3 linked regions of the Bombyx mori genome follow. The protein of the gene in region 1 binds, or shares a complex with, the protein of each later gene. Links are inferred from orthologs where the notes say so. Each region holds a gene or a part of one and is shown on either strand. Other genes may lie near its edges.

Region 1 (3,500 bases):
GATACTGCAAAGCATTAATAGAACTGCTTATCGTAAAAAGAAAGAAGGACACAGATGTTTGTTACATTGTTTAAAAACATTAGCAAAGTCAATTGATGAGGTGAGTTTCAGAACACTTATAATTATTGTGTTTTTTTATCCAGGGTTTTCAGAAACCGTTTTTGTTTCTCTTCGGTAAATATTCTAATACACCCTGTATATACATAAACAAAGAAATAGAAGATATACAAATTATACAAATAACCATTGAACAAACTAAGCTTAGATTTTTTTAATGCTTAGATGGGTATAACATATACAACGAAAATGCCTCCACCCACCTTGAGACATGAGTTTTAAGATTTCCCAGTTTTTACAGTACAACGGCTGCCTCACCCTTCAAACCGAAACCACTGCTTCACGACAGAAACAGGTGGGGTGGTTGTCCGTGCGGACTCACAAGATGTCCTCCTACCACCAGTTATTACATATTTTTTTAATTGGCCGGTTTAATTTTATTACACGATGTTATTCCCGATGATATTATGATATTATTCACCGTGGAAGTATTTCGTGAACATTTGTCAAGTACGTATAATATTTTATTAGAAAAGTTAGTACCTGACTACGCGGGATTCGAACAGCGTTGCATCGCACCGATACGAATGCACCGGACGTCTGTGTGCTTAGTGCGAGTTTTTTAACGTTCTCGATAGCGTAAAAGTTAGCTCATAAATATGGCTCATAAGTATGGAATGGAATCGTTTGCGTACGTTTGCCGTTGGGCGCTGTTCCAACTGCATACAAAATTGGTTTAACTTTTACGCTATCGAGAACGTTAAGAAACTCGCACTAAGCACTCTTATCCTTTAGGCCACGACGTCTTCATGTTCACTGTGTGATTTCTTATCTAGTACTAAGAAATTTATTCACTTGTTTTAGATACCCGTGAAGAATGACGACACAGACTCGATGAAATCGAGTCAAAGAAGTCAGTCGGAGTGTGAGAATGCAGGCGATTCGTGTATTCCTTTCCCTCGAACATGCGGGGCTAAGTGGTGCGGTGTTAGTACGTTAGTGGTATTCAACCGTCCCCCGAACACCAGGAGGCTGTCATTGAAGCACGAGACTGGAACACCTCGGTCAATGTCATCGTTATCCTTGATGCCGGGTTTATTCAACACCGGCTACAGTTCTGTGTCGCCTCACGCCACCACGACTCCGTCGCCGACGAACCCGCCGGGCTTCCCGCAATTACATCACAAGCACCCGTCCTATTCAATCACAACGTTCTATTTTCAAGATCGATGGGTAAGTACAGTATTTTAAATGAAAGATCATGTTTGTGTGTGTGTGTGTGTTTGCAAGAACACGATTGTGTGTTTTTTGTTGATAGGTAGAAAGTATTAACCTCCCCTTTCAGAAGGAAATATCGAAAAATTGCCCGAGTAAGGTAGTGTTTGAATCAATGAATGAAAATTTGAGTTTATGTTAATAGTGTGTGTAACCAACAGTAAAATGTATTTTAGAATAATACTACCAACTGTATGACCACAAAAAAACATTGTTTAATTTATCGATGTGACACAACACTATGCTTTTTTTTTTGAAGTGAAACTTCTTTATGCGCGTTGAGAGTAAAATTTAACTCGCGACAGATTCGTTACGGCTAGAGAGAAAAGATACAATTTAGAAAGAGCGAGAGTGAGAAAATAGAGCGTCTCTCGAGCCACTCGAATGTGGAGAGTGGGAAAGGACAAAGCGAACTAGGTCGTTTCTCTTATACACAGCATTCCCTATTACAAGATAAATTTGATTTAAGGATGAAAAATGAAGAAAACCACTATACTACACACCGTAACAGAAGTTTCATTTCTTTCACGTGCACCAAGGCGCACCATTTTCTTTTTTGTTCTTCCCCGTTCAAATCGCGCGCCACACATTAGCAGATGATTTTCACCGATGGTAGAGCATATTTTATAAAGAGTTGGTATCACGTTCCTGCCTATTTCTGCAACTAAGCAATCCTGCACTTTGGTTTGATTTGTGGCGCTATCATTATATATAAGTAATACAAATGACAACTCGGTCTCATATTTCGACGTGGCTGGTTGCGTTTACATCGTCATTATACTACTTTTACTGGTGGCAGGACCTTTTGAGTCCGCACGTGTAGGTACCACCACCCTGCCTATTTCTGCCGTGAAGCAGTAATGCGTTTCGGTTCGAAGGCTGGGGCAGCCGTTGTAACTATACTTGAGACCTTAGAACTTATATGTCAAGGTTGGTGGCGCATTTACGTTGTAGATGTCTATGGGCTTCAGTAACTTAACACCAGATGGGCTGTGAGCTCGTCCACCCATCTAAGCAATAAAAAAAAAACACAAGGATTCATGTAATTACGTAACACTAGGTGGGCCGTGAGACTCATCGATGCAAAAAAAACTTTATAGAATAAGTATGTGCGGTGAAATACATTAAGACGTTTGAAGTCCGTTGCAGAAGGCACAAGGTCGCCGCGCGGGCAGCATCCGCAGTCGCGGAAGTATATCCGGGTGCTCATCGCCTAGAGTGGTACTGTATGCTGCGACAGATCTCTTCCCACTTAATCGTACTCTTGCTGAAAAATACGTAATTAATTCTGATAATCCGATCGGTAAGTCTTGATATTGGTTTTAGAAATACCCTATAGTATTGGAACCTAAATTCAGCACGAATAATTGTCACTTTAATAAATCGTCGTTATCAAAATCTGCTATGTGCGAAAACTATTTTGAATTAACAAGTAAAAACATTTTCGTATAATTTTTTATATGAAGGTAAATTTTTAAGAACTATATATATCAAATGAAAGGTATAGATAAATATTAAAGCTATAGACACATAGCAGTTTTTTTTATACGGTGATAGAGCTGTGAACTATACGAAAAGGTCAAAAAGTAAAAATCTCAATAAGTGCACATAGCAGGTTTTGGTTTAACAACGACGAAATTCATATTTTGCGAGCCGCCTTACACCCGCGACGCAGCCGACGTGTGTCTCAACTCTAATAGAGTCAGCACTATTGATATCCAGCTGAAAAAATTACCAAATGTCTAAATCATAAAGATATATTTAGTGATTTTAATTATTTCCGTAAATGATTGAATGGTATGATTTAAAAAAAAAAAACTCACTCCGATTTTTTCTTTGTTTTATGTCTTCAAACAGACATGTGCGAAACAAACGCTAAAGTGGCAACGGAAGAAGGAGAACGTGACCTCGCGCACGCCTGGTCTCTGGCCGCGCTTACCGCTAAAGCTCTGAAAGCGAAAGTTGTCGATCATCTGACTTCCAGCGAAGAAAGCATGGGCTGGGTTGGACATCCTCTGTGCTGTAATCTACTGCAATCCTTGTGAGTACCCAAAAATCGATAATATTAAAGTATAAATTATAATAGTGACATAACTTGTCCCATCCCTAGTACGATTGTCAACATAACGCTTAATACCTTAATTCTTGTGAAATGGGTGAATCGTGAC
Region 2 (3,665 bases), on another chromosome or scaffold:
ATCTAAGCAATAAAAATATAGTACATTGTGCACCAAAATTGCAAACACGCGGGATGAGATGTCCTACTTTTTTCCCGCGGTGCTCATACTATTTTTTCTCCTACCAGGCCGAAAGTTCGTGGAGTACCGAGCCGGGGTCCAGGGGCGAAGCCCTGGCAGGGGGTAGGGGGGGCGGAGCCCCCCCATACTCGTAAAAAAAGAAAATTAACTGTTTTTTAATTTTTAAATAAACTACTACTAATTGAATAAGAACTGTCTGATGAACTCATCTTTGTTTAATACTTCAGTATTAAATTTTATTGCCTTTTGTTTATTTCACTTTTACACTAAACACAATATTGCAAATTACCCGAGCACAACAATGGCGGAGAATTTTAGGTGCGTGAGAGCAGACGTAGACACTAACGCGCATGCGCACTTGTCAGTAACTAGAGAGGAAAAGTTACACTTTCTTCCCTGTACAGCGGGAGGAAAACTGAACTTTCGGCGTAGGTAGGAGAAAAAAAAATGACACTCACCTCTTGTCGCGTCAGTGCACGGGCATGTGCGCGGGGTTGGCCATGGCGGCGAGGCGCGTGTAGGCGGTGTGCGCGCGGGCGGCGGGCGCGCTGTCTCCGCCCACCGTCTCATTCTTGAACACGGCCACGCACTTCCACTGATTCAAGTATTGCACTGTAAAAACCAATAACCGTTACTTGGCCAGTCCCAACACATCAGTAATAATAACGGCTTTTTTTTTTGGAACGAACTTCATTATGGGACGATGCGGAAGGGTACCCTAACCGGGAAAAAACGTCCGTAACGTAAGATTTTTATTAGTAATGCACACAGTGTACGACTTAACTTTGTAATAACGTACAAAAAATAACAATTTTTGTAGTCATTAATTGACCACAATCTGAGAGCATTCGTTTGCGCAATACACTAACTCTTATACAAACAACCGTGAATGAAGTGTACCACAATAAGTTCGCACGTTACCGAATGACCGTGGGTTGTTGCGAAACCTCCAGTTTTATTTTCTTTATACCTCGAATAGAACTTAAAATTAATATTTTTATAATAAGGAACTTCGTTCCTATCCGGTGTCCCACGACACCACGAATCTTTTTTTTCCTACCTAAGCTGAGAGCCTTGAGAGGCTATTTCAGCGTAACCTTAACTAGTAGGTGAGCTCACGGGGCTCAAACCTGACGACGTTGCTAACACGAACCCTTGCAAGAGCCGTGCCTCGCAGCATCTACCACCGGATCGGAAACGCGACCCACTGAGAAGATCCGGCGAGAAACTCAGTGGGCTGTGTCTGTGGGTTAAATAACGGCACAGCTAAGCCGCAACCTTCAGCACAGAACTGCTTTCACACACCTCATTTGAAAATACATCAAAAGAATCAAGAATGAATTCCGGCAACTCAATAGGGATGTACTCTGACTATGGCATACAACGGAATCATCTCAAACAATGCCATATGTCAGTGAGTCATACCGTAGACAAAGAAGTTCAAAGTGAACATTTCACTTATTGACCCAAGGAGGTCTAACTCTCAATTGTATTGCAATGGTTGTCCCATCCTTAAAAACTACTTGATATCATACCATTCGTTTACAACTCTACATTCGATGATCGAAGAATATATCTTAGGAAACTATACATCTGGAATAGATATGAAATCGAGTAAAATTTAATTATACTGAACAATTGACATGGTTATTATCATTCCTTACTATTCCATAGTCTGACGCAGCTGTCGTCCCCCGACGAGGCCAGCAGAGTCCCGGTGGGGTTCCACGACACCCTCCACACGCACGAGTAGTGCTCGTCGAAGGCCGCCATTACTTCACTCTTGAACCGCACGCCCAAACCGTTCGCGGAGATAGACGATTCACTGTGACGTCACAATAATAATTTAAATGTTATATTCCAACGAATGCAAACTAAATAGAATACACGTAATGAAGTTTTACTGGTGGTAGGACCTCTTGTGAGTCCGCACGGGTAGGTACCACCACTCCGCCTATTTCTGTCGTGAAGCAGTAATGCGTTTCGGTTTGAAGTGTGGGGCAGCCGCTGTAACTATACTTGAGACCTTAGAACTTATATCTCAAGGTGGGTGGCGCATTTACGTTGTAGATGTCTATGGGCTCCGGTAACTACTTAACCCCAGGTGGGCTGTGAGCTCGTCCACCTATCTATGCAATAAAAAAAGTGCTCAAAAGTAATGCAATATTTATTCTGTCTTCATCGTTCCCTCACCGCTAAAGATCGTGACCACATGTTACTTTCCTCCATAGTGTTTGGTCGTAGATGACATGGACCGCATGGTTATAGACTAACATACCTGCTATATTTTTATATTTTCCAGAATTTCTCTAAGTTAAACGATTGTCTCGAAGAGATCGATTTTAGCCTATTGTTACAAATCTATCTGCTTTTTGACCGTTTTTTAATGTAAATTGTGTTTTGGTGTGCAATAAAGTGTATTCTCTCTCTCTCTTTCTCTCTCTTTCTCTCTCTCTCTTTCTCTCTCTCTCTTTCTCTCTCTCTCTTTCTCTCTCTCTCTCTTTCTCGCTCTCTCTTTCTCTCTCTCTTTCTCTCTCTCTCTTTCTCTCTCTCTCTTTCTCTCTCTCTCTTTCTCTCTCTCTCTTTCTCTCTCTCTCTTTCTCTCTCTCTCTTTCTCTCTCTCTCTTTCTCTCTCTCTCTTTCTCTCTCTCTCTTTCTCACTACCACCAACCACTTTCTGAACCAGATCTGACCATCGGGCTGGTGTTCTGTTTATAGTGCCGCAGAAATGAACCATATTTTTCAAACGGTACCTTATCATCATATCGACGCTTGAAAGGCAAACATGACTAAGCGACAATGCGTGAACTTTACAGTAGACTAATTTAAAGTTGAAATACCTGAAAAAAAATCTATTTTAACGAATCTAGCTGTAGGATTGAAATTATTTTAATAGACCTAGTAATATATATTTTTTGCGCATTGAATACGGTTATTGCCTATCATTTATGTACAAAGCAGTTATTGTCGCTTAGTCACGTTTGCCTTTCAAGCGTCGATATGCTTACCGGCCCTTCTGTGAATTTTAACGGAAATTTTACACTTTGCATCATCTGTAGTCATGTCAATGACAAGATAATAAAGTACTCACGAAAGTGGTTCGATTTTAATGATTCTCAGGTCCTTGGCGGCTACGGCGAGGAGATGGAACGAGCGGCCGAGGTTCGGAGCGAAGGCGAGGTCGTTGACCGGCTCCTGGACGGATGACAGACAGTCCGTTCGCGTCCAACGACGAGACGTTTCACTGTATCTGAACACAAATTTAATTAATTTTTTTTGTTTAGCTTCATAAGAGTTTTTATTACGTACACAGCGGTACCATTGTGGCGGGTAGCCATCACAGAACACAAGATATTTGCTAGATGCCTGAATCTGGCTTACGACATTTTCAAGATAAGCCTGCATATTTATTTATTTTTTCCCACCTAATCTGATAGCCTTGAGAGGCTATATCAGCTTCGCCTTAACTAGTAGGTGAGCTCACGGGGCTGAAACCTGATGACGTTGCTAACACGAACCCTAGCAAGAGCCGTGCTTCGCAGAATCTACCACCGGATCGGAAACGCGACCCACTGAGAAGATCCGGCGAGAAACTCAGTGGGCTG
Region 3 (3,500 bases), on another chromosome or scaffold:
GGGCCAGCCGCGCCGAGCCCCCGCACCCGCCGCCCGCGCTCCGCGATATGTACCACAGCGGAGCCGGCAGAGAGAACTCACTGAGCATCTGCAAATACAGAAATAACGTAAATAAAATGACTAAACACAGATATTTTTTTAAATGTAATAATAATAGTAGGTAATTAATTGGTAGGCAGCGGCTTGGCTCTGTCCCTGACATTGCTAAAGTTCATGGGCGACGTTAACCACTCACAATCAAACAGACAAAGAGCCAACAACTTGTTCATCACACAATGTTTGCCCGATGTGGGAATAGAACCCACGACCCTCAGCGCAACAGTCAGGACCACTAACCACTGCACCACCGAGTCAGTCAGTTAAACTTTCTTTCGTTTTAGTAGCAATTGTCGAGGTTTATTGTCATTATTTTTTGGGATATTCAGTTTTTAAAATTCCGTTTAAAAATTAAAATCGAAATCTAAAATCGATAATCGAAAATCTTGTCTGTGATTATTGTCAATTTTCATCATTATAGGGTGAGCGAGCATAAGTAAGTTTCTATTGAACAATTATATTTTTGTGATACTTTAATTCCTTTATAAATTATAGTGCGTAAAGAAAATAATGAATGTCTCATACTTGCAATAAACATAGCCCAGGAAACTCCTTGGCGAATTCATCGACAAGAGGTGAATGTATGTGAATATTCGCGCCGGGGGCCACAACGTATACATTCCCTTCGCACAATGGATAGATCACCGTCGCTTTAGCCCAATACACTAAATGTCCAGTTAGTTGAGAGACCTAGAATAATTCGAAAAACATTTTACACAATTAAACCTGAAACGAAATATTATTGTCGCTCATAGAGCTAGCTTAGTTTGGTTTACTTTTTTATTTAAAGATTGGTATTCATTGTCCCTTTAAATACTACGCAAATATTATTTTAGGGTACAGAACAGTTTAAAAAATTTAATTTAAAGTTTTAATATGTAAGTGATAGAAATTGAAGTGAAGGGTTGTAAAAGGTAATTAATTTTGGTTTTTATTTTTGTACAGGTATGAACGGCATCGATTTTATGACCCACTTGATACTGAGTAGTCACCATTGTCGTTCATGGACATCAGCAACGGTACAGACACCACCAAGCCATTACCGACCAGCCATGTTTATATTTAAGCCTTGAAGAAGGCCGTATCATATCACTATGTGATTATCATTTTTTACCAATCACTTTGCTTTTAAGTACTCAAAACACGAACCGCTAATTGTGCTTATGCATCCTTTTATATCAATTATAATTATTTTATTCCGAGAGTATTCATTGAAACATACAAATGACATGTACACAATATGTATGTTAATTACTAGATAAGACTAGTTTAGTTAGAGTAAATAGTCACAGAACCCTGTTATATGTATACATTATTGATTTGATTATTGATTATAAAATAATGAGAAATTTAGCTCATATTGAATTTCTTAAACCAACTTGCTTTTTAGACTTCCTTTTAATCTAAAAGAACCTTAAAAATAATAAAATTTTGACTTATTTATGGATTTATACTGTTTATACCTGTTTGAATGTCAGATCCGCTTCTATGGCCAGTGTTTGAAGACTTTTTAGAGGGCTATATAGTTTAATAAGTCGCAGCAATGCAGAGCTGCCATCCAGTGGTATCGACGCCAACAAATCATTTGGATTCACCTTAAAGTAAATTAACAAAACAATTCACTAGTACAAGGATACAGTTCTTATATTAGAAACGTCAAATGTAGTAACGGAAAACATTATTGAGAAGAGTATTAAGCAGTAGGCAGCGGCTTGGCTCTGCCCCTGGCATTACTAAATTCCATGGGCGACGGTAGCCACTCACCATCAGGTGGTCTGTATGCCCGTCTGCCTACAAGGGCAATAAAATAAATAAAAAACTTGTGTTCTACTATTTTGATAATATTCTCATTTTAATTTGTTGAAGTCACTTTTCTTTTATGTTTAAAATTTTCAATATTCATAAACACTAAAAAAGTTGTATGTATATTTGATTACTTACAAGTAGTAGCATGCCGTGGTATGGCCTCAGTTTTTGCAAACATTTGTCTATTGTTTCCGGTTCTATTATCAATCCTCTGTTGTGAATTTGATGGGCTTTGTGGGGCAAACAGAAGGATAGAAGCACCCATTTATTTACACGTACTTGAACTATGCCTGAAAATTAAAGCAAAAGCTAATTTCATATCTAAATTGTTTTTGTATTTAAACCAAGTTATCAGAATCACTTGTTACTAATTAGGTATGATGTTGTCGTGACTTAAATGGAAAGGGCGTCTGGTGTACTTATATAGTGCGACTTGACCATTATGGTGTGCAAATTACACAGACAGATATTAATCGTTGCAATACGCACATAACATGTTCTGATGAGTCTGTGCGGTTACCAGCACCCTGCTTTTATTTGCTGCAAAGCCATAATTAATTTCGGTTCGAAGAGAAGACCAGCTGTTATACTATACATATAGTCGAGACATGTCTCATATCATAAAAGCGAGGGTATTTCAAGGGCAACATTCAGACTGTGAAGTTTTTCAATTCCAGTAACCACTTAATACCATGTAGGCCTAGTACAAAAGTTTATTGTACTAGGCCCACCAGTAAAATTTAGTCTAGATATGTTATATTTTAAGAAAAGTGTTTAACCTGTGCTACTTAGTTCCTCAAAGACAGATTTCATGGACCTAGCTAATGAACTCCTTTGTAATATTAAGTGGTAGGCAGACATTGGGCCTCCCTCAAGGCCATTATCTACACTATATGTTGTAGAACTAACAGAATGTCGGAGATTCTCTTCCTCTTCTTCATTATCACCATTAATTTCACTGTCGTTCCTCTCATTCACTTCATCATGAGCAGCTAGCTGTAAAAATATGAAAAAAAAAATTTTTATAGCTTCAGTTGGTGGACGAGCCCACGGTCCACCTGGTGTTAAGAGGTTACCGGAGCTCATAGACATCTACAACGTAAATAAAGCCATATATTGAGTACGAAAGGTCTGATTTTACAGTACAATAGCTACCCCACCCTTCAAACCGAAATGCATTACTGCTTCACGGTAAAAATAGGCAGGGTGGTGATACCTACCCGTGCGGACTCACAAGACGTCCTACCACCAGTAATTACGCAAGTTATAATATTTGGGGTTTGATTTTTATTACACAATGTTATTCCTTCACTGTAGTAGTCAATCGTAAAGATTTGTTAAGTACGTATATCATTAGAAAAATTGGTACTTGCCTGCGGTATTCGAAGACCTTCTTATCCTTTAGGCCACGACAACTTCAAAAATGCAACAACGAAACAAAATCTTTTTTGTCTCCACAACGCTGGGTCGGCAAAGAGAATGGTTCTATTCAATTCTCTTCTATCAGTCCTCATCTCAACACTCACTCCGTTCCTCTCTCTCTCTCTCTCTCTCATATCTTCCATTCACACACTCCATTCATGTCTTCTTCGTTCGAC

What was found. Proteins that work in one complex are often made in the same cells at the same time.
Region 2: GATOR2 complex protein WDR59 (region 1) and sec13-like protein share a complex: the UniProt entries of both Drosophila melanogaster proteins name them as parts of the GATOR complex. The link is inferred for Bombyx mori from reciprocal best matches to the Drosophila melanogaster genes Wdr59 and Nup44A.
Region 3: GATOR2 complex protein WDR59 (region 1) and GATOR complex protein NPRL3 share a complex: the UniProt entries of both Drosophila melanogaster proteins name them as parts of the GATOR complex. The link is inferred for Bombyx mori from reciprocal best matches to the Drosophila melanogaster genes Wdr59 and Nprl3.

Annotation. Positions count from the first base shown.
Region 1 is NC_085110.1:13,179,662-13,183,161, forward strand, and holds part of GATOR2 complex protein WDR59, read left to right. Parts: coding exon 1-100; intron 101-921; coding exon 922-1,290; intron 1,291-2,481; coding exon 2,482-2,635; intron 2,636-3,189; coding exon 3,190-3,373; intron 3,374-3,500. UniProt on the Drosophila melanogaster protein: A component of the GATOR complex, which functions as a regulator of the amino acid-sensing branch of the mTORC1 signaling pathway.
Region 2 is NC_085125.1:13,435,909-13,439,573, reverse strand, and holds the end of sec13-like protein, read right to left. Parts: intron 3,311-3,665; coding exon 3,152-3,310; intron 1,886-3,151; coding exon 1,725-1,885; intron 673-1,724; coding exon 530-672; 3' UTR 501-529; downstream 1-500. UniProt on the Drosophila melanogaster protein: Probable component of the nuclear pore complex (NPC). Involved in maintaining the localization of another nucleoporin Mgtor to the nuclear envelope of early meiotic female germline cells.
Region 3 is NC_085124.1:9,506,880-9,510,379, forward strand, and holds part of GATOR complex protein NPRL3, read right to left. Parts: intron 2,899-3,500; coding exon 2,682-2,898; intron 2,193-2,681; coding exon 2,038-2,192; intron 1,692-2,037; coding exon 1,560-1,691; intron 787-1,559; coding exon 622-786; intron 89-621; coding exon 1-88. UniProt on the Drosophila melanogaster protein: An essential component of the GATOR subcomplex GATOR1 which functions as an inhibitor of the amino acid-sensing branch of the TORC1 signaling pathway.